Linked DNA regions of Xenopus tropicalis. The protein of the gene in region 1 interacts with the protein of each later gene in a biochemical or structural test. Links are inferred from orthologs where the notes say so. Each region holds a gene or a part of one and is shown on either strand. Other genes may lie near its edges.

Region 1 (6,471 bases):
CTTGTAACAAGGTAAAGGATGGCAAGGATATACTGGGGCATTGGGTGAGGGAAGTGCAGGAAGATGGTCAGTGTGTATTGGGCACCGGGGGCAGGAAAGGGCAGTGATGGAAAGTATATAGTAATGGGCAGATGGGCAGGGGTTAATAGGAAGTATATAGAGGTGGTCAGCGTATAGTGACACTCATATAGGTACAGGAGGGCAGAGGTTGGCATTATTCAGAGATGGTCATTGAATATAGAGGAAGTTAGTAGAATATAGAGGCAGGGAGTAGTGGGCAGAATTTAGAGGCAGGGAGTAGTGGGCAGAATATAGAGGTAGGCAGGGAGTAGTGGGCAGAATATAGAGGTAGGCAGGGAGTAGTGGGCAGAATATAGAGGTAGGCAGGGAGTAGTGGGCAGAATATAGAGGTAGGCAGGGAGTAGTGGGCAGAATTTAGAGCCAGGGAGTAGTGGGCAGAATATAGAGGCAGGGAGTAGTGGGCAGAGTGTTGAGGTAGGCAGGGAGTAGTGGGCAGAATATAGAGGCAGGGAGTAGTGGGCAGAGTATTGAAGTAGGCAGGGAGTAGTGGGCAGAATATAGAGGTAGGCAGGGAGTAGTGGGCAGAATATAGAGGTAGGCAGGGAGTAGTGGGCAGAATATAGAGGTAGGCAGGGAGTAGTGGGCAGAATATAGAGGCAGGGAGTAGTGGGCAGAATATAGAGGTAGGCAGGCAGTAGTGGGCAGAATATAGAGGTAGGCAGGGAGTAGTGGGCAGAGTATTGAGGTAGGCAGGGAGTAGTGGGCAGAATATAGAGGTAGGCAGGGAGTAGTGGGCAGAGTATTGAGGTAGGCAGGGAGTAGTGGGCAGAATATAGAGGTAGGCAGGGAGTAGTGGGCAGAATATAGAGGTAGGCAGGGAGTAGTGGGCAGAATATAGAGGTAGGCAGGGAGTAGTGGGCAGAATATAGAGGCAGGGAGTAGTGGGCAGAGTGTTGAGGTAGGCAGGGAGTAGTGGGCAGAATATAGAGGCAGGGAGTAGTGGGCAGAGTATTGAAGTAGGCAGGGAGTAGTGGGCAGAATATAGAGGTAGGCAGGGAGTAGTGGGCAGAATATAGAGGTAGGCAGGGAGTAGTGGGCAGAATATAGAGGTAGGCAGGAGTAGTGGGCAGAATATAGAGGTAGGCAGGGAGTAGTGGGCAGAATTTAGAGGCAGGGAGTAGTGGGCAGAATATAGAGGTAGGCAGGGAGTAGTGGGCAGAATATAGAGGTAGGCAGGGAGTAGTGGGCAGAATATAGAGGCAGGAGTAGTGGGCAGAGTGTTGAGGTAGGCAGGGAGTAGTGGGCAGAATATAGAGGCAGGGAGTAGTGGGCAGAGTATTGAAGTAGGCAGGGAGTAGTGGGCAGAATATAGAGGTAGGCAGGGAGTAGTGGGCAGAGTATTGAGGTAGGCAGGGAGTAGTGGGCAGAGTGTTGAGGTAGGCAGGGAGTAGTGGGCAGAGTGTTGAGGTAGGCAGGGAGTAGTGGGCAGTACTGACATTATACAGCAGGTACAGGAGGGCACAGGTTGGCACCGTATGTCGGGCAGTATGACGGGATGTATTTAGTGGGCACAGGACTGGGTGAGGGGAGGCAGAGTGGCATTTAGTGGGCACAGGACTGGGTGAGGGGATGCAGAGTGGCACTTAGTGGGCACAGGACTGAGTGAGGGGAGGCAGAGTGGCACTTAGTGGGCACAGGACTGGGTGAGGGGAGGCAGAGTGGCACTTAGTGGGCACAGGACTGGGTGAGGGGAGGCAGAGTGGCACTTAGTGGGCACAGGACTGGGTGAGGGGAGGCAGAGTGGCACTTAGTGGGCACAGGACTGGGTGAGGGGAGGCAGAGTGGCACTTAGTGGGCACAGGACTGGGTGAGGGGAGGCAGAGTGGCACTTAGTGGGCACAGGACTGGGTGAGGGGAGGCAGAGTGGCACTTAGTGGGCACAGGACTGAGTGAGGGGAGGCAGAGTGGCACTTAGTGGGCACAGGACTGAGTGAGGGGAGGCAGAGTGGCACTTAGTGGGCACAGGACTGGGCAGGGCGGTCCCACATGTGCAGCCCCAGCCCGGGGAGGCGCTCTCACTCCCCCTCCCTCCCCTCCCTCTATCCCTGTCCGGGCACTCTGGCCATGGCTTCCCCGGGCACGGCTCACCGGAGCGGGCTGCTGGAGCTGCGCTGTCCCGGGGAGCGCTGGGTGCGGGTACTGCTGCTGCTCGGAGAGGAGACTGTGACTTTCACCCCGGAGCCGGAGCCCGGGGCAGCGGAGGAGAAGGCGCTGAACGGCGCGGAGCCGGCGGGGGGGGTCCCGGAGTCTCTCATTAACCTGCGCCGGACTGTCAGGGTGCTCAAGCAGGATGCGGGGGGGCTGGGGGTCAGCATCAAGGGTAAGTACCCTGCTCGGAGCCCACCTTCCTTCTCTCCTGGGCTAACTCCCTGCTATGGTGCCCACTGGCATTACTAACTCCCTGCTATGGTGCCCACTGGCATTACTAACTCCCTGCTATGGTGCCCACTGGCATTACTAACTCCCTGCTATGGTGCCCACTGGCATTACTAACTCCCTGCTATGGTGCCCACTGGCATTACTAACTCCCTGCTATGGTGCCCACTGGCATTACTAACTCCCTGCTATGGTGCCCACTGGCATTACTAACTCCCTGCTATGGTGCCCACTGGCTTTACTAACTCCCTGCTATGGTGCCCACTGGCTTTACTAACTCCCTGCTATGGTGCCCACTGGCATTACTAACTCCCTGCTATGGTGCCCACTGGCTTTACTAACTCCCTGCTATGGTGCCCACTGGCTTTACTAACTCCCTGCTATGGTGCCCACTGGCATTACTAACTCCCTGCTATGGTGCCCACTGGCTTACTAACTCCCTGCTATGGTGCCCACTGGCTTTACTAACTCCCTGCTATGGTGCCCACTGGCATTACTAACTCCCTGCTATGGTGCCCACTGGCTTTACTAACTCCCTGCTATGGTGCCCACTGGCTTTACTAACTCCCTGCTATGGTGCCCACTGGCATTACTAACTCCCTGCTATGGTGCCCACTGGCTTTACTAACTCCCTGCTATGGTGCCCACTGGCTTTACTAACTCCCTGCTATGGTGCCCACTGGCATTACTAACTCCCTGCTATGGTGCCCACTGGCTTTACTTACTCCCTGCTATGGTGCCCACTGGCTTTACTAACTCCCTGCTATGGTGCCCACTGGCTTTACTAACTCCCTGCTATGGTGCCCACTGGCTTTACTAACTACCCTGCTATCATGCCAAGTCCTACACAGGCATTAACTGACTGTGCCCCCCTCTCCTTCTCCTGGGAATTCCTCACCAGTAACCAATCTTACAATGACTACTAACTAGCCCCCTAACGGTATGGCATTCCAGTGCCCTGCTACTATGCCCTGCTTTCCTACTGGCATTACTAACTACCCTGCTATAGTGCCCAGCACTGTTAATATTAACTAATGTAGTGCCCAGTTGAGGGCATTCCTACTTAGTACTCTATGATAGTGCCAAGTTCCACAGTGGCATAACAACCATGGTCCAGCTCTGTGTAGGGCATTTGACCATTGTACCCTGCTATAGCGCCCAGCTTCCACACTGACATTAGCCCAAAATAGTGTCCAGGGCACAATTACAAAGTATGCAGTGCCCAACTTTCCCTCCGGCAGTATTAACCCTCCCAGTGCAGTGCTACAGTGCCCAGCTTTCATACTGGCATTACTCACTACTTTGGTACAATAAACTCCCTGCCCACCTTTTTCTAGGGCATTTCTGGCTAATACCCCGATACTGTGCCCACATTTTACTTTGGCATTACTAAGTAGCCCAGTTCAGTGTTCTGCTTTCACTGTGGCATCACTTATTGCCCCTATTATAGTGCCTAGATTTCCCTCAGTACCCAAGAAATGCACCCACCTTCATTATGGTTAAGCCTGTCATTTTGTGCCAACCAGTGCTCATTATGTTGCCCAGCTCTGTGTGGCATTTCTATCCACCTCATTCTAGTGTGCATGCCAAATCTCAAGGCGGCATCCCAGCCTACCATGTTGTTGTGTATAACTCTAACTTGGCATTCCTGTCACTCTTATTATTATTCAGACCTCTCACTGTGCCCTCACCTCATTGTGCCATAATAATGTGTCTCTCTGGCAGTGCCAAAGCTACTACCTCAGTTCCCTTGGGATTTCATGCCCAACTCTCACTATGCTATTAATGCCTGCCAGCTTAATATGCCCATCTCTCATTATTTGTGCCAAACTGTGCCTCTTTCTGACTAAGCCAATGCCCCTTGCCTCGGTGCCCAACTCCCTATCCAGCTTACATGTAAATGATGGTGCCAATTATTGCCCTATATGTCCCGTGACTGTTGCTGGCAGTGCCCCAGCCCTGCGTCTGTACATCAGTGCCCCCTGTCACTCTCATTCATGGCTGCCCTTTCCTGCCTTTGTAGAGTTGCGTTACCACTGGGCTGAAATAGTGACGCTGGCATAGTTTGCCCCCATGTGTCAGTAGCACTTTCTATCTGGCCAGCCTCCAACTCTAGCTATTGCAACATGTTTATAGGGGGGAGGCTGGAACTTGCAGTAAGAGCTGAAGGGCTTCAGGTTGTATTATACCTAATTGGACCCACACAGAATATTTTGTCCTGGGCTCCCCTAGCCTTACTCTCCCCCCTTGGCTTGCCCACACACACACCCAGAGCCAAACACACTGCGGCACTAGTAAACTGATAGGCACCTAAACACTCACACACCAACAACTGCGCCACATTCCTGCCCAGTGAGGCAAGTGTCCAGCCACAATCACAGTGCGGCTTATCTCATAGGCCCCACAGCAGCAGGAAGAGGAGGCTCCTGGGAAAATGGCTTCTGATCTGCTAAATGGGGCCCCAAGTTCCCAGTTCTGTCAGACTGCAACCAAACTTCTCACACAATCAGAATCACTCTGGGCTCCCCCCGTCACAAACAGGGCAACGTGATTGCAACTAAAGGCTTTAGGAAACAGTAAGAGGGACATAGGGGTCACTGCCTCAGTTCCAAGGGACAAAATACTTGCAGGCATTAAAATAGAACATCTCCCTCTCTCTTATTGGCTGAGGAATGTCCCATGCTGTTATATTGGTTTGTTTGGGAGGGGGGACACTGCCGGGACTGCCTTTCCTCCCTGCCCCCCAACACCTACTCTCCCTGCAGCACAAAGGAGCGTGGGAAATTTAAGGGACATGATATAGTGTATATTCATGTACCAGAATATTATAGGAATCTTGCATTTTGGAACTTCTTAAGACTTTTAAAGGGGAAGTTAAGCTTGAAATTAATTTTGTTCTGGTTTTATTGCATTGGCATTATAGGCAAAGTCTGAACGCTGAATGTTTTTGTTGGAAAAATGGAGGGTCCGGACTCCGTTTGTGGCGGGCTGCTCACTCAGCCTTACTCTGTCACATAACTGCTAATCCTAAAATAGCAGCGGCTTGCATGTCAGATTTAGCTGAAGCCTGTTGCTGTCTTTCTAAAGGGTCAGCCGCTTGTAGGAAATGATCAAGGACTCACAGTATCCTGGGGCAGAGAGTTGCAGGAAAAATGTATTGGCCTGTGAATGGTGAATGAAAACCTGCCCAACCAATATCTGCCTGCAGATCAGCTGGTTAAAAAATCAGGTGATGACTGCATTGGCATATTGATACCGTTCTCTCCCAGCAGGTCCCCTGAGGCGCTATTTAGGGTCACATTGTTGGGATGGTGGCCAAATCAGGCACAGATCTACTGGTTTGCATAGCAAGCTTTAGGTCCAAACTTTTCTAACGGCAGTGACATGTTTATGGGCTCAGTCCCCCCTAGGCCCAAAGTGTACTAATAGCAGTGCCATGTTTATGGGCTCAGCCCCCCCTAGGCCCAAAGTGTACTAATGGCAGTGCCATGTTTATGGGCTCAGTCCCCCCTAGGCCCAAAGTGTACTAATTGCAGTGTCATGTTTATGGGCTCAGTCCCCCCTAGGCCCAAAGTGTACTAATGGCAGTGCCATGTTTATGGGCTCAGTCCCCCCTAGGCCCAAAGTGTACTAATGGCAGTGCCATGTTTATGGGCTCAGTCCCCCCTAGGCCCAAAGTGTACTAATGGCAGTGCCATGTTTATGGGCTCAGTCCCCCCTAGGCCCAAAGTGTACTAATGGCAGTGCCATGTTTATGGGCTCAGTCCCCCCTAGGCCCAAAGTGTACTAATGGCAGTGACATGTTTATGGGCTCAGTCCCCCCTAGGCCCAAAGTGTACTAATGGCAGTGCCATGTTTATGGGCTCGGTCCCCCCTAGGCCCAAAGTGTACTAATGGCAGTGCCATGTTTATGGGCTCAGTCCCCCCTAGGCCCAAAGTGTACTAATGGCAGTGCCATGTTTATGGGCTCAGTCCCCCCTAGGCCCAAAGTGTACTAATGGCAGTGCCATGTTT
Region 2 (5,956 bases), about 26 Mb from region 1:
CAACCAAGCAGCAGGTAGCATTTACTGGTCACCTGTTTAAAAGCAAATAGCTTATTGCTTGCTATGGGTTACTGCTCCTGGGAAAACTTTTATTACATATGGGGGCTTACATTTAAAAAATCTTGAATTAATCTATGCTTGAGTTTGGGCAGTAATAATTATATAAAAAGATTTAAATTCTATAGTTTATGACTAAAATGTTGGGTTTCCAGTGCAAATAAGAATATATATGGTGGCCACAACTGGGCATCATACTACTTGCTGCATACTGTGCATAAGCTTTCTTGTTGTTAAGTGATATGGGGACAAGGTATTATATACTCACCAGTGCTCCACTACTGAGTAAGATCATGAAGATGATGAAGGTTTCAAACCAGTTATGCTCCACAATCTGGAAACATGTTTTCCGAATGTTCCACCAAATTTTCCCTTTTTCTGTTGTGATGTCGACATAAAGACAAGGGCATCTTCGTACACAGTCTTTAAAAACAAATATAGGAGAGCTATTTAATTAGACGAACTGTGGTTCTACATTTAGTTTTCTTCTGTATGGACCCAGGGTATAGGTACAATATCCATTTAATATCTATCTATCTATCTATCTATCTATCTATCTATCTATCTGTCTGTCTGTCTATCATCAATATATAAATATATGAGTGTGTTTAGTTGTACATGTGGACTGTAGCAATTTTCTTGGTGCAGAACATGCAGCTATGGCCTCTATAGATAGACGTACTTTACACAGTTCACTGAATTATATTACCTGCATGTCTCAACCCTGTGCTTTTATATAGTCACAGAACCACTCAGAGTTCCCTGTATAACTCAGCCTGCAGCCTTGTGCCTTTATATGGGCACAGAACCCCTCAGTGACTGCTAATATCCTTATCATTTACAGTAGGGGGTACATTATCCCTTATAATACATGAGTGATACTCAGAGCTCCCTGTATAACTCAGCCTGCAGCCTTGTGCCTTTATATGGGCACAGAACCCCTCAGTGACTGCTAATATCCTTATCATTTACAGTAGGGGGTACATTATCCCTTATAATACATGAGTGATACTCAGAGTACCCTGTATAACTCAGCCTGCAGCCTTGTGCCTTTATATGGGCACAGAACCCCTCAGTGACTGCTAATATCCTTATCATTTACAGTAGGGGGTACATTATCCCATATAATACATGAGTGATACTCAGAGTTCCCTGTATAACTCAGCCTGCAGCCTTGTGCCTTTATATGGGCACAGAACCCCTCAGTGACTTCTAATATCCTTATAATTTACAGTAGGGGTAAATTATCCCTTATAATACATGAGTGATACTCAGAGTTCCCTGTATAACTCAGCCTGCAGCTTTGTGCCTTTATATGGTCACAGAACCCCTCAGTGACTTCTAATATCCTTATCCTTTACAGTAGGGGGTACATTATCCCTTATAATACATGAATGATACTCAGAGTTCCCTGTATAACTCAGCCTCACCTCACTTTAGAGGAGATCTCTTTTATTTTAGAACAACTGTTAGCCAGCTTGATGCTGGCCACGCCAACAAAAAAGAAGAAAATTTGGAAATGGGAGAGCAACCACTTGTTACTAAGTTTATACAAACAGAGTATTTTTAAATAGTAGAAGCTGTAGTTCACTCCTTAGTGACGTTTTTGGTCTGACTTTGTCATGTATTGGCAAGTTTTATTCTTGCCTCTCTGTATTACTTGAAATGTAGCGACTACTGCTTAACTGTAGCAGATCTCACATTTCATAATAATATCCCTTTGTGTACACAGAATGGAAGTTTTACTTTTCTCCATACCAGCAGTAAAGCATTCTTCTGGGCCTTCGTCTTCTTTGTGTTCAAAGGCCTCCTCTTCCTCTTCAGGTTCAGGAGGTTTATAATCTGCTGTGCTACACACTGACGAGCCATCATCGTACTTCTGATGCGGAAAAAGAAATGTCATCAATGTCACACTGCATGTTTTATAAATACAGGTCAAAGGACTTTAGTCCAACCCAGACAAGACCCCACTTAATTGAGAGTTTTTCAGTGAGTGCATAGGGTGAGATGGACTCTAGGACAAAAGTCATAATTTTATATAAAAGGCCAAGGTAGTTTTACAAAAAAAGTGTCTATAGTAACAATATTTTTTCCCCCACAGCATAAAATATAGAGTTTCTCCAAAAAACTTTAAACTTATAACTTGTATAAAGTGGACTTCTTTGGGATCTAGCCAATGGGTATTAAGATAATGAGCACCATTTCTAGTAAAAAAAAAAAAAAAGATGCCTACACCAGTCAGGTTTGGTCTAAACCATGACAATCAGTGAACTTCTATACCTATCCTGGAGAAATACAGGGAGGTGAAAGATACATGAAACTATTTTCTTCTTATCTCTGTGATGGGAACACAGGTTATAAACAAGCAGGTCATGTCCTGATACTGAAGAACATTACATTTCACAAGTATGCATTGTATTCATACCTTGTGGTGTAAAATCCCTTCCTCTACCTCCGACTGTGTGCTAAACTCATCCGTGTCTGGAATGTCGAAGTCGGACTCTTCTGAGGCAATAGGTACTTCTATTCTCATGTGTGGGTTGTTAAAAAAATTAGCGTGGTCAAACTCATCCATGTAATAACGTTTTTTAGTCACGCCATCAATCAGTGGAGGTTCTTTTTTGGGTTCTGGTTCTGTCCTGGGTTCTAGTTCTATCTTGGGTTCTGGTTCTGTCTCTACATGGTTCAGAGCAATGTTTTCTTTGTTAGGGTCCTCTTCCTCCTGCTCAGCTTTTGCCTTCCTCTTGTAATGTAGGATGGAGAAGAAGGTTTTCTTCACAAAGTCAATGCCCCTGGTGATCCTTCCGATGGCGATCTGCAGGTTGTTCATCTCCCCATCGTCGTCCGAAGCCGACAAGTTATCCGCGCTGAAGGAACTCAGCAACAAAGCCAAAAAGAGATTGAGGACCTAAAGAAAAGTATTGGGCAGTGTCATTAAATGAAGGCAAATTTACTAATAAAAGAATCTTGGTGTTTCCATCCTGATATTGACAACTATTTCCCTGTTTCCAGTTTGATCAGGTGCTTTATTGAGAGGCAGGCCGCCCCAGCCCAGGGACACACGCAGCCCAAATTTCACACATTCAGAGGGATCAAATAACCATAGATTGTATGAAAGGAAGTTTGGATTTATTACTGATGGTACACATTCTCCTCTCCTGAAATTTCATACTCTCAATGCACAAGAAGCTTCTCAACAGCCAGAAAAGATTTGTAGGGGTATAAAAAATGTATTGGATCCTACCCTACAAGTGTTTTTCCTGTTACTTCTCCCATGCATGCTGAGGGCATTTGTATCAGCATTTAAGACTGAGAGTTAATGTATTAGGATAAGCCCTATAGGTAAATCTGAATATGGTTTTAAAATAGAAACGTAAATGAAGTGAAATAAATATACATGCACACGATAAAGGAGAAAATACATCAGTTTGCTAACAGGGGGGTGCAAAGGCGGGTTCACTAATAGGTGTATTATTTCAGCCATACTTTTAACCTAGGCCCTAGGCCTCCCAAATGAATACTGCTGCCTGCTTTTGGCAGCACTGTAGTCATAAGGGCATACCTCCCAACATTTCATTAAGAGAAAGAGGCACAAAAATATGTGACGTGGGTAGTGTGGCAAATTTTTTTGGCCACGCCTGCTTTGTGACCACGCCCCACATGCAACACCCACTTTACATGCCCCAGATGTGCCAGTATAATCACTAAATAAAAGGACAAATTAACTTCAAATGTGCCAGTATGACTACATTAAATTGATAAAGGGCATATTAACCCCAGACATCCCAGTTAAATTACTACATGAAATTGATAGAGGGCATATCAACTTCAGACATGCCAACAGTTCTGTGCATTTGCCAAAGTTATAAACAGGGCCAATTCCAGTGGTACATAAATCTATGTTATTTCCTTCCATTCTTAATCAGTTGAAAGCAATACAATATTAATGTACCACTAGAATTTCTAGCCATATTATCAAGGCCAGCCTAAGGTTCCCAAACTTATAAGGGCCCTTTTTAAATGTCTGCTATATTTTGTGAACGGATCAGCGATACCTCTGTCTCCTATTCCCCTGCATGCTGTGCTCTGCCAGAGATTCACAGGAGTGAGAGAGATATGTTAGGGGTGGGAAGGTGAAACTGCCCAGCACACAAATAAAGGCAGCAGCCTCTTCTGCCTGATAAAAGACAGAGCCCCCCTCAGCCCCTGACCCAGTGAGCAGGAGCAAGGAGAGGAATGCAGCCAATGCTGATAGTTGGCCCTTGCCTGTCACAAATGCTCCTCCCAGATCAAGGTAAACCTGTGAGCTTGAGGTAGCAGGGAAGATTCAAGAGTTAAGGGGGCAGGCTTTTTTTCCCAGAGCAGAGCAGGCACAGCAATCAATTAAATGGCAATGCTGAGAAGCGGGACATCCAACAATAAATCTGGGACAGCGGGAAGTGCTATAATATCGGGACTGTCCCGCTAAAAGCGGGACGGTTGGGAGGTATTAAGGGGCTAGCCGAGAGAGCCATGAAGGCATTCCGTATCCCACAAGCTGCACTCAAATTCCTTGCTAAAAATGCTCTGAGCTGCAAAGATTGGCACCTGGCAGTGACTGGCACAAAACATGGGGGGCTAGGTTCATTGTAACAAATATTCACCTTCTTTTTGCACTTTGCACCTTTTCCCTGTTCGCAAATAAAACCTTAATAAATCTTAAATGGAAAAAATCCTGTGTGTATGAAGCCCTTGTAAACTGCTTGTGTGATGCCCCCCAGTAGTGCCAACAGCACATCTGAAAACAATAACCAGCTCTTAGTGGTACCGCTCAGAGCATGTAAATAGAACCTTTACACTGACATCTTGTCTCCCATTTGTTTAATACTGCAGTTAGGTACCCAGACACTCGCTTTTGGATTTCTATTTTCTGACAGGATTACTAAGCTACTTGAGTTGCTTCCTCTTAATGTCCTGTTTTAGCCTTAAAGGAATTCTGGAGGAAATAGCATTGGGCCTATATTTGTACGTGACAAACAGCATGTGCTTTGGAGCTGTGTTATTGGCATGGAACACGTTTGAAAACAACAACAAATAAGCCCCATTCTTCCTGTAGTTCTGGTTTATAAAAACGGGGGCAGAAGAGGCACAGTGTGTGATTAAAGCTTGAACATTTGGTCCAATTATCTTTGGCAATACTTTATAAATAGCAGCCTCTTAAGACTTTATATTGCATGAAATTACTGTGAGTTTGTAGAGATCAGATTCATACAAGCTACAGCTTTTTTGGCTTGGCTGTTCCATGTCTCTAGTCAGTGTTTCCATGTAGGCCATGCTTCCAATAATGGCAACTCAACGTCTTGCTAGGCCATACCCTAAAGAGCCACATTCAAACTGAAAAAGTGTTGGGGAGCAACACAAGCATAAGAAAGTTTCCTGGGGGTGCCAATAAGAGCTATAATTGGCTACTTAATAGCCCCTATGTGGACTGGCAGCCTACAGAAGGCTCTGTTTGGCATTATACTTGGCTTTTATGCAACCATAACTTGCCTCCAAGCCAGAAATTCAAGAATGAGCATCTGCTTTGAGGCCTCTGGGAGCAACATCCAAGGGGTTGGGGAGCAACAAGATTGACTGGAGAGTTTTGGAAAGGGAAAAAGTGGATAATGGGAGAGTGGAAGGCATGATGTATCTCTATGCAATATATGTATGCAGCATTAAAAAGCCTTTTTTTAAAGTAAAGAGCAGGTGTGCAATATGAAGATCATTATATAGTCTAAGAAGAATTATCGAAGAGTGAAACAAAATGGTAGATCCTCCAGCAAAGTATGATAAGCCAGATATTGGACTAACAAGTGAATGCCTGAGCTGTACTGATCTCTGGGGCATCTACCCAATGATCAGATCATGGTTTGTGTTG
Region 3 (5,956 bases), on another chromosome or scaffold:
ACACAGGATTCAGATAGTTTACATATTTTACTGACTTGGGAAAATGGGACTTTTGCTTAGTCTTTGGCTAACCCAATACTTCTCAAGACTCCTGCAAATAATATTAACAAGTGGGTTATTCATTGGTAAAGCCCTGAGATTTCCCATGTTTGTAAAGACTTTCATTTCTTGAAGAAGACAAAAAAAACCCCTGAACACTCCTGTGAATACCTTGGAACACTCAATTTACAACTCAATACAGTAATATATTTGAAGTTGTCATAAATCAGTTCAGTAACACAAGAGTTAGGCACTTGTGGACCACACACTCAGGCCAGTTAAGCAAATGTAAAAATGATTTAAAAAAAAAAAAAGAAATCCCAGATTTATCCACTTCTCCTAGTTTTAGTTCTGGAGCTTATGCTCCTGAACCCCACATTTTACAGTGCATTAATTGTCTTTGCTTGTATAGATAAATCAGTTCAGCCTTTGCAACTCTTTAATATTTAAATACATTAGAACACTGCAGCATCAACGAAGCTACTGCTCTCATTGTATGACTAGTGCATTATTTCTAATGTAACTGAGGGGTTATAAAATAAAAATAAAAAAATGCTACCTGCTGAACAGTTGCTGTAGGTTATAGATCAGTATTTATGCTGAATCAACATAGAATACTACAACAGCTGGAGCTGGATTTATTAAATGTAGTTTAATTTCAAGTAATCATCTTTTCTTGAGTACATTAGCATAGGTGTGAAAACATGATGGTAAGTATTTTTGTTTTAGAGCAAATATTTATAATTGGTTGCTATGGGAAGCAAACAGTTTTGATTCAAGACTCCACAGAATGATGCCTTGGTTACTTCACCTAATGCAATCAAGTTTATACCAAAACCATGACACTGATACATTTGCAAAGTAAACACATTGCTCAGTTTGTGCTTTTCTCTATTAATTGCTTTCTCCTTATACTTTCAGTAAGCAAGGTTTTAAGATAATAAATATTCTGTCAATCTGAAGGCAATAATAATAATAATTTGCTCTAAGTTATTTGAAAATCATGGTGGCAGTAGAGAAAAACGTACATTCCAATCAATGGTCGAGAAGAAGGGATGGCGCTTAATCTCTTCAGCCCCTTCAACACCAGATCCTGAAAAACATGCCAAAAGAATTATGTTGATGTATATTACTCTTCTCATTTTATGAACAAATAAGTTTATTAGTAGATTGTAATTATTACTTACCTAAACGATTAGTAGGATTCCTTTTGAAGAGAGAGCGTAATAGACCCTGTGCTTCATTGCTAAGAAACTGAGGCATCCCTAGTTTGGCTCTAAGGCAGAAAATTGAAGTGAGCAGGATAAACTACAATACCACTAAAACGAATTTTGATTTAAAAAGAAGGTCTATCTACAAACCAAAGTACAATTTATATATGTTTTTTTTTTTCTTTCCTTTCTTCATGCTACCCATTACTGCAAGGTATTCCTAAATGATTATGTCCCTTGACCGCTATAAGACAGCTTGCCCTCTCCTGCACTTAAAACTGATGAGTTATGTCAACAAATAAATGCAGCTACAGGGGCAAAAGAATACTGAAGTGCCCTCAGTTTGTAAGTTCCAGAATATGCTACTTTGCGAGTACCAACATTATGCTAGAATTCTGGTGGTATTCCTTCCCTGATGTGAATTTTTCTTCATTTGTGCTGTTATAAAAATGGCTATAACATTTTCATAAAGAAATAACTCTTAACTTGCTTTTACTAAGCATTAACTTTGTTGTTCTAGCAGCAGCTCACATTTGATTTTTGAGGATAAGAATTGCTCATTCTGTACCAAATTTTAAGCTACTTTTTAGTTTGCTGACAGTGAAACTTATATACAACTGTGAACATTACAAACCATTCTTTCATATAGTAACTTGTATTTCAGCTATAGTTTTCTACGGACACCCTAGATTTTCCAATTTTCTACTTACTTCAGGATTAGAGTCATGGTTTCCTTACGGTCTTTGCCCTGGAATGGCAGTGATCCTGTCAGCATCTCAAACTGTGAATATGGAAACATTCAGAAATTATTGAAATGGCAAAAATGGAACCAGTAATCTGAAAGAGACTGAAAGAACAGATACCAATAGGAGAAAAGGTAAAATAAATTGTTTTGTGTTTATCTAGATATAAGCAAACAGCTTACCATAAGCACGCCATAAGACCACCAGTCTGCACTGTGCGAATGTCCTTGTCGATTCACTACTTCAGGAGCCATATACTCCACAGTCCCACAAAAAGAATAAGCCTTTTTTTCATGGTCTATTGCCTCTTTACTTAGCCCAAAATCTGATCAGGGTAATGCCAAGTATCCAATTAGATGTTACACAGGTGCACACACAAAAAAAGAGACAGAGAAAATTATGAAGCTTGTTCCAAGTTTGTCAAAAGCCTGCATGTATAGAAGAATGGTCCCAACACAAGAGATTGGTATCAGACAACACCAGGAATCGGAGTGGATACACAGGGATGGGAACACAAACAGTTCACAGAAACATACCAGTAAGCTTTATATGGCCCTCTTCATCCAAGAGAATGCTGCACAGCACAGAGAAAGGCAGATGTTACCACCACGTGCCACTCACAATGATATAAAGTAAACAACTGTGGTATGTATCTTTTTTTTAGTTAACAGCCATCATTTGATGTTAAACCACACCTGTGTTCTTTATGAGGTTCTAAAGGAGAAGGAAAGGCGGTGCCAAAATGTTAGGTACCCCCAAGTGACTTTAAGCGCTTACCTTGTACCCCTGGCTGGTGCCCCTGTTCGGAGAAAACCACACCAGCCCAGGGTACCTGTAGTGAGCAGTTCCGCGTTTGTGCTTGCTCAGTAGAGCGAAAGCCGAACTTTAACAAAAAAGTTGGCTTTTCACTCTAATGCGCATGCTCTGGCCCAGGGATTTTGCCGGCAGAAGAAACACGGAAGGAGGAAGCACTCGCTACAGCTACCCCGGGCTGGTGCGGTTTTCTCCGAACAGGGGCACCAGCCCGGGGTACAAGGTAAGCGATTTAAGTCACTTGGGGGTGCCTAACATTTTGGCAGCCCCAAGTGACTTAGACTTTCCTTCTCCTTTAAGAATAAGTGCAGATAAACTTTTATTGTTGCTTTTATTTAGAAAAAATAAACAATATGCCTGAGCAAAGTACCTATACACCAAACCCCCATATGTCAAAAAAAGGCACTAAGAGCGCCCAGTAGCAGTAACCCCTATAATTTTGGAAACAGTAACAATATTTAATTTCATTTTGTATGTTGAGATAGCATAAGTCAATCTTACCTTTAATCAGTGAAATGGAACTTTTTTTTATTGCACACATGTAAGGATGCTAATTATACTAAGAAAAGTGTTCCATTTCATGCTTAAAGGTAAGATTGACCTATGCCAGTGCTGTCCAACTGCTGGCCAGGAGCCCCCCTCTGTGGCCCCCCCACCTGCCTGACTGTTGTGGCTGCTTTAAATGGTATCATTACTGTGATTAACTGGCCCCTTCCATTGTTCACACCTCAGATTCAGGCTTTAAACCCCTGTGTTATTCACACCTGTCATCTCCATGTATTGTTCACACCTTTTAGTCGCTGCATTATTCACAACAAAGGCTCAAACTGTAAGCACTCACACTGTTCACATCTCAGACAGACTGTAGGAGCAGTAACAGATTGTGTCACTTTATGTTCTCTGCCTGGCCTATGCTGCCTATGTGTGCCATATTCTGCCTGACCTATGCTGCCTGTGTGTGCCATACTCTGCCTGCCCTATGCTGCCTGTGTGTGCCATTCTCTGCCTGCCCTATACTGCCTCTGTGTGTGCCATACACTGCCTGCCCTATACTGCCTCTGTGTGTGCCATACTCTGCTACCCCTATGCTGCCTGTGTGTGCCATACTCTGCTACCCCTATGCTGCCTGTGTGTGCCATACTCTGCCTGACCTATGCTGCCTGTGTGCGCCATACTCTGCCTGCCCTATACTGCCTGTGTGTGTTCCATACACTGCTTGCCCTATGCTGCCTGTGTGTGCCATACTCTGCTTGCCCTATGCTGCCTGTGTGTGCCATACTCTGCCTGCCCTATGCTGCCTGTGTGTGCCATTCTCTGCCTGCCCTATACTGCCTCTGTGTGTGCCATACACTGCCTGCCCTATGCTGCCTGTGGGAGGTAAACCTGGCAGAGGTTTGTTCTGGGAGTATTTGGAACTAGTCATTATATGGAACCTATGGTGTGTAATTATGTGCTGGGGGTTGCTATGTTATCCACAGGGGAAGCATATGTCTTAATATTAGGGATGCACCGAACCCAGTTTTTTGGATTCAGCCGAACCCCAAGCCAAATCCTAATTAGCATATGCTAATTAGGATCTGAAAGTGGTAAAACTCGGGGTGCATGTGCGCAGCGGGAAAATATTTTCCCCCTAACATTTGTACTTTCAAGTGCTAATTATCATATGCTAATTTATGTGAATTAGGATTCAGTTCGGCCAGGACCATGGATTCGGCCCGAAACAGAAACCTGCCAAAAAATACTGAATTGAATCCTGGATTCGGTGCATAAACTTCTTTTACATATGAAAAAAGGGTGATTTCCCTACAGTAAGCACCAATCATTTTGGTTTTTCCTGCACTGCCACCATTAATTTGGGTATGGTCTTAAAAGCACTTGTGATTACATGGGTGTGGCTTAAAGTGGACGCAGTTTAAAAAAGGGGGTGGCCTAAATTGGCTTCCATTATTGGCCCTTCACCATGTACAATACCACATAAATTGGACAGCACTGACCTACACTATCTCAACACACATGCAGTCAAACCAACAGTGCAGTGCAGTCAAACTGCCTTAATGCCTGGCTCACCAACATACTTTTCAGGTTTTAGGTCACGGTAGATGATCCCTAAGCTGTGCAAATGATCAAGACCCAAAGCCAGTTCCGCTAGGTAAAACTTCACATCTTCTTCTGTGAACATTACCTATATTAAAAATACATTTAAATTAATTCACATAAGTAATTCTTACATAATCCCAAAGCATTATTATTTTTATATATAGTAGAAAGGGAAAATTCCAGGGGTCACAGCGTTGAATTGTTGAAGAGTGGTTTAAATTCAGATCAAAGTAAAGGGAAAAATTCATTTCTAATACCAACCTCCTTGGACAGACGTGTAAATAGATCTCCTCCCCGTAGAAAATCCAGGATTAAGTAAAGTTTCCCCTCTGTCTGAAAAGCTATATGTAGAATATATGAAAGATTAATTAAAGTTTAATTATTTGCATATACACACTTGCAAGAACCATGTAGTACTGCTCAGTTTTAACTATCAGTTTGGGGTAAGCTGTATTCTGCAGCAAGGCTGACAAAAGAATTTAAAAACCTGCTTTTCATCTAACTTATCTCCACCACCATGGTGAGTTATGCACAGATAGAAAGTGTTGCAGTGTCTGATTACAGTAGAGGGGAGCATTCAGAGAAACCGTGTCTTAAAGGAAACCTATACCCCCAAACAAAGTAGGTCTCTATAAATATATATTGCATAAACAAGCTTATATGTAAAACCCTGCTTCATCTAAATGAACCATTTTCATAACAATATACTTTTTAGTAGTATGTGCTATTGGGTAATGCGAAATAGAAAATTAAAATTTTAAGAATTAAGAGCCGCCTCTTGGGATCATAGGAGTCACAGTGCACACAAACAAGCCAAGGAACACATACATGTTAGGTTATATCAGCAAATGAATGGGCAGAGCTCTGCTTTTGCTTCCACACTACTTCCTGTTACAGTTAGAGCTACATTATTTCCTGTCAGGTGATCTCTGAGGCAGCACAAAGCCCATCACTAAATGGTGGATCAAGCTAGTGCTGGGCGGTATACCGGTAAAAACCGATCACCGGTTTTTTTTTTGAAACCGATATGAATTTTCGACATACCCCCATACC

The links. The genes of interacting proteins can lie anywhere in the genome.
Region 2: the proteins of snta1 (region 1) and scn4a interact in a test that uses a peptide from one of them, tested with the Homo sapiens proteins (2 studies listed by BioGRID and IntAct). The link is inferred for Xenopus tropicalis from reciprocal best matches to the Homo sapiens genes SNTA1 and SCN4A.
Region 3: the proteins of snta1 (region 1) and rps6ka1 interact in a test that uses a peptide from one of them, tested with the Homo sapiens proteins (2 studies listed by BioGRID and IntAct, with this or other methods). The link is inferred for Xenopus tropicalis from reciprocal best matches to the Homo sapiens genes SNTA1 and RPS6KA1.

Annotation. Positions count from the first base shown.
Region 1 is NC_030686.2:41,867,550-41,874,020, forward strand, and holds the start of snta1 (alpha-1-syntrophin), read left to right. Parts: upstream 1-2,102; 5' UTR 2,103-2,145; coding exon 2,146-2,401; intron 2,402-6,471. UniProt on the Homo sapiens protein: Adapter protein that binds to and probably organizes the subcellular localization of a variety of membrane proteins. May link various receptors to the actin cytoskeleton and the extracellular matrix via the dystrophin glycoprotein complex.
Region 2 is NC_030686.2:15,623,233-15,629,188, forward strand, and holds part of scn4a (sodium channel protein type 4 subunit alpha), read right to left. Parts: intron 2,966-5,956; coding exon 2,483-2,965; intron 1,937-2,482; coding exon 1,816-1,936; intron 481-1,815; coding exon 326-480; intron 1-325. UniProt on the Homo sapiens protein: Pore-forming subunit of Nav1.4, a voltage-gated sodium (Nav) channel that directly mediates the depolarizing phase of action potentials in excitable membranes.
Region 3 is NC_030678.2:77,648,112-77,654,067, reverse strand, and holds part of rps6ka1 (ribosomal protein S6 kinase alpha-1), read right to left. Parts: intron 5,245-5,956; coding exon 5,165-5,244; intron 4,989-5,164; coding exon 4,882-4,988; intron 2,568-4,881; coding exon 2,530-2,567; intron 2,319-2,529; coding exon 2,176-2,318; intron 2,032-2,175; coding exon 1,961-2,031; intron 1,316-1,960; coding exon 1,227-1,315; intron 1,133-1,226; coding exon 1,068-1,132; intron 1-1,067. UniProt on the Homo sapiens protein: Serine/threonine-protein kinase that acts downstream of ERK (MAPK1/ERK2 and MAPK3/ERK1) signaling and mediates mitogenic and stress-induced activation of the transcription factors CREB1, ETV1/ER81 and NR4A1/NUR77, regulates translation through RPS6 and EIF4B phosphorylation, and mediates cellular proliferation, survival, and differentiation by modulating mTOR signaling and repressing pro-apoptotic function of BAD and DAPK1.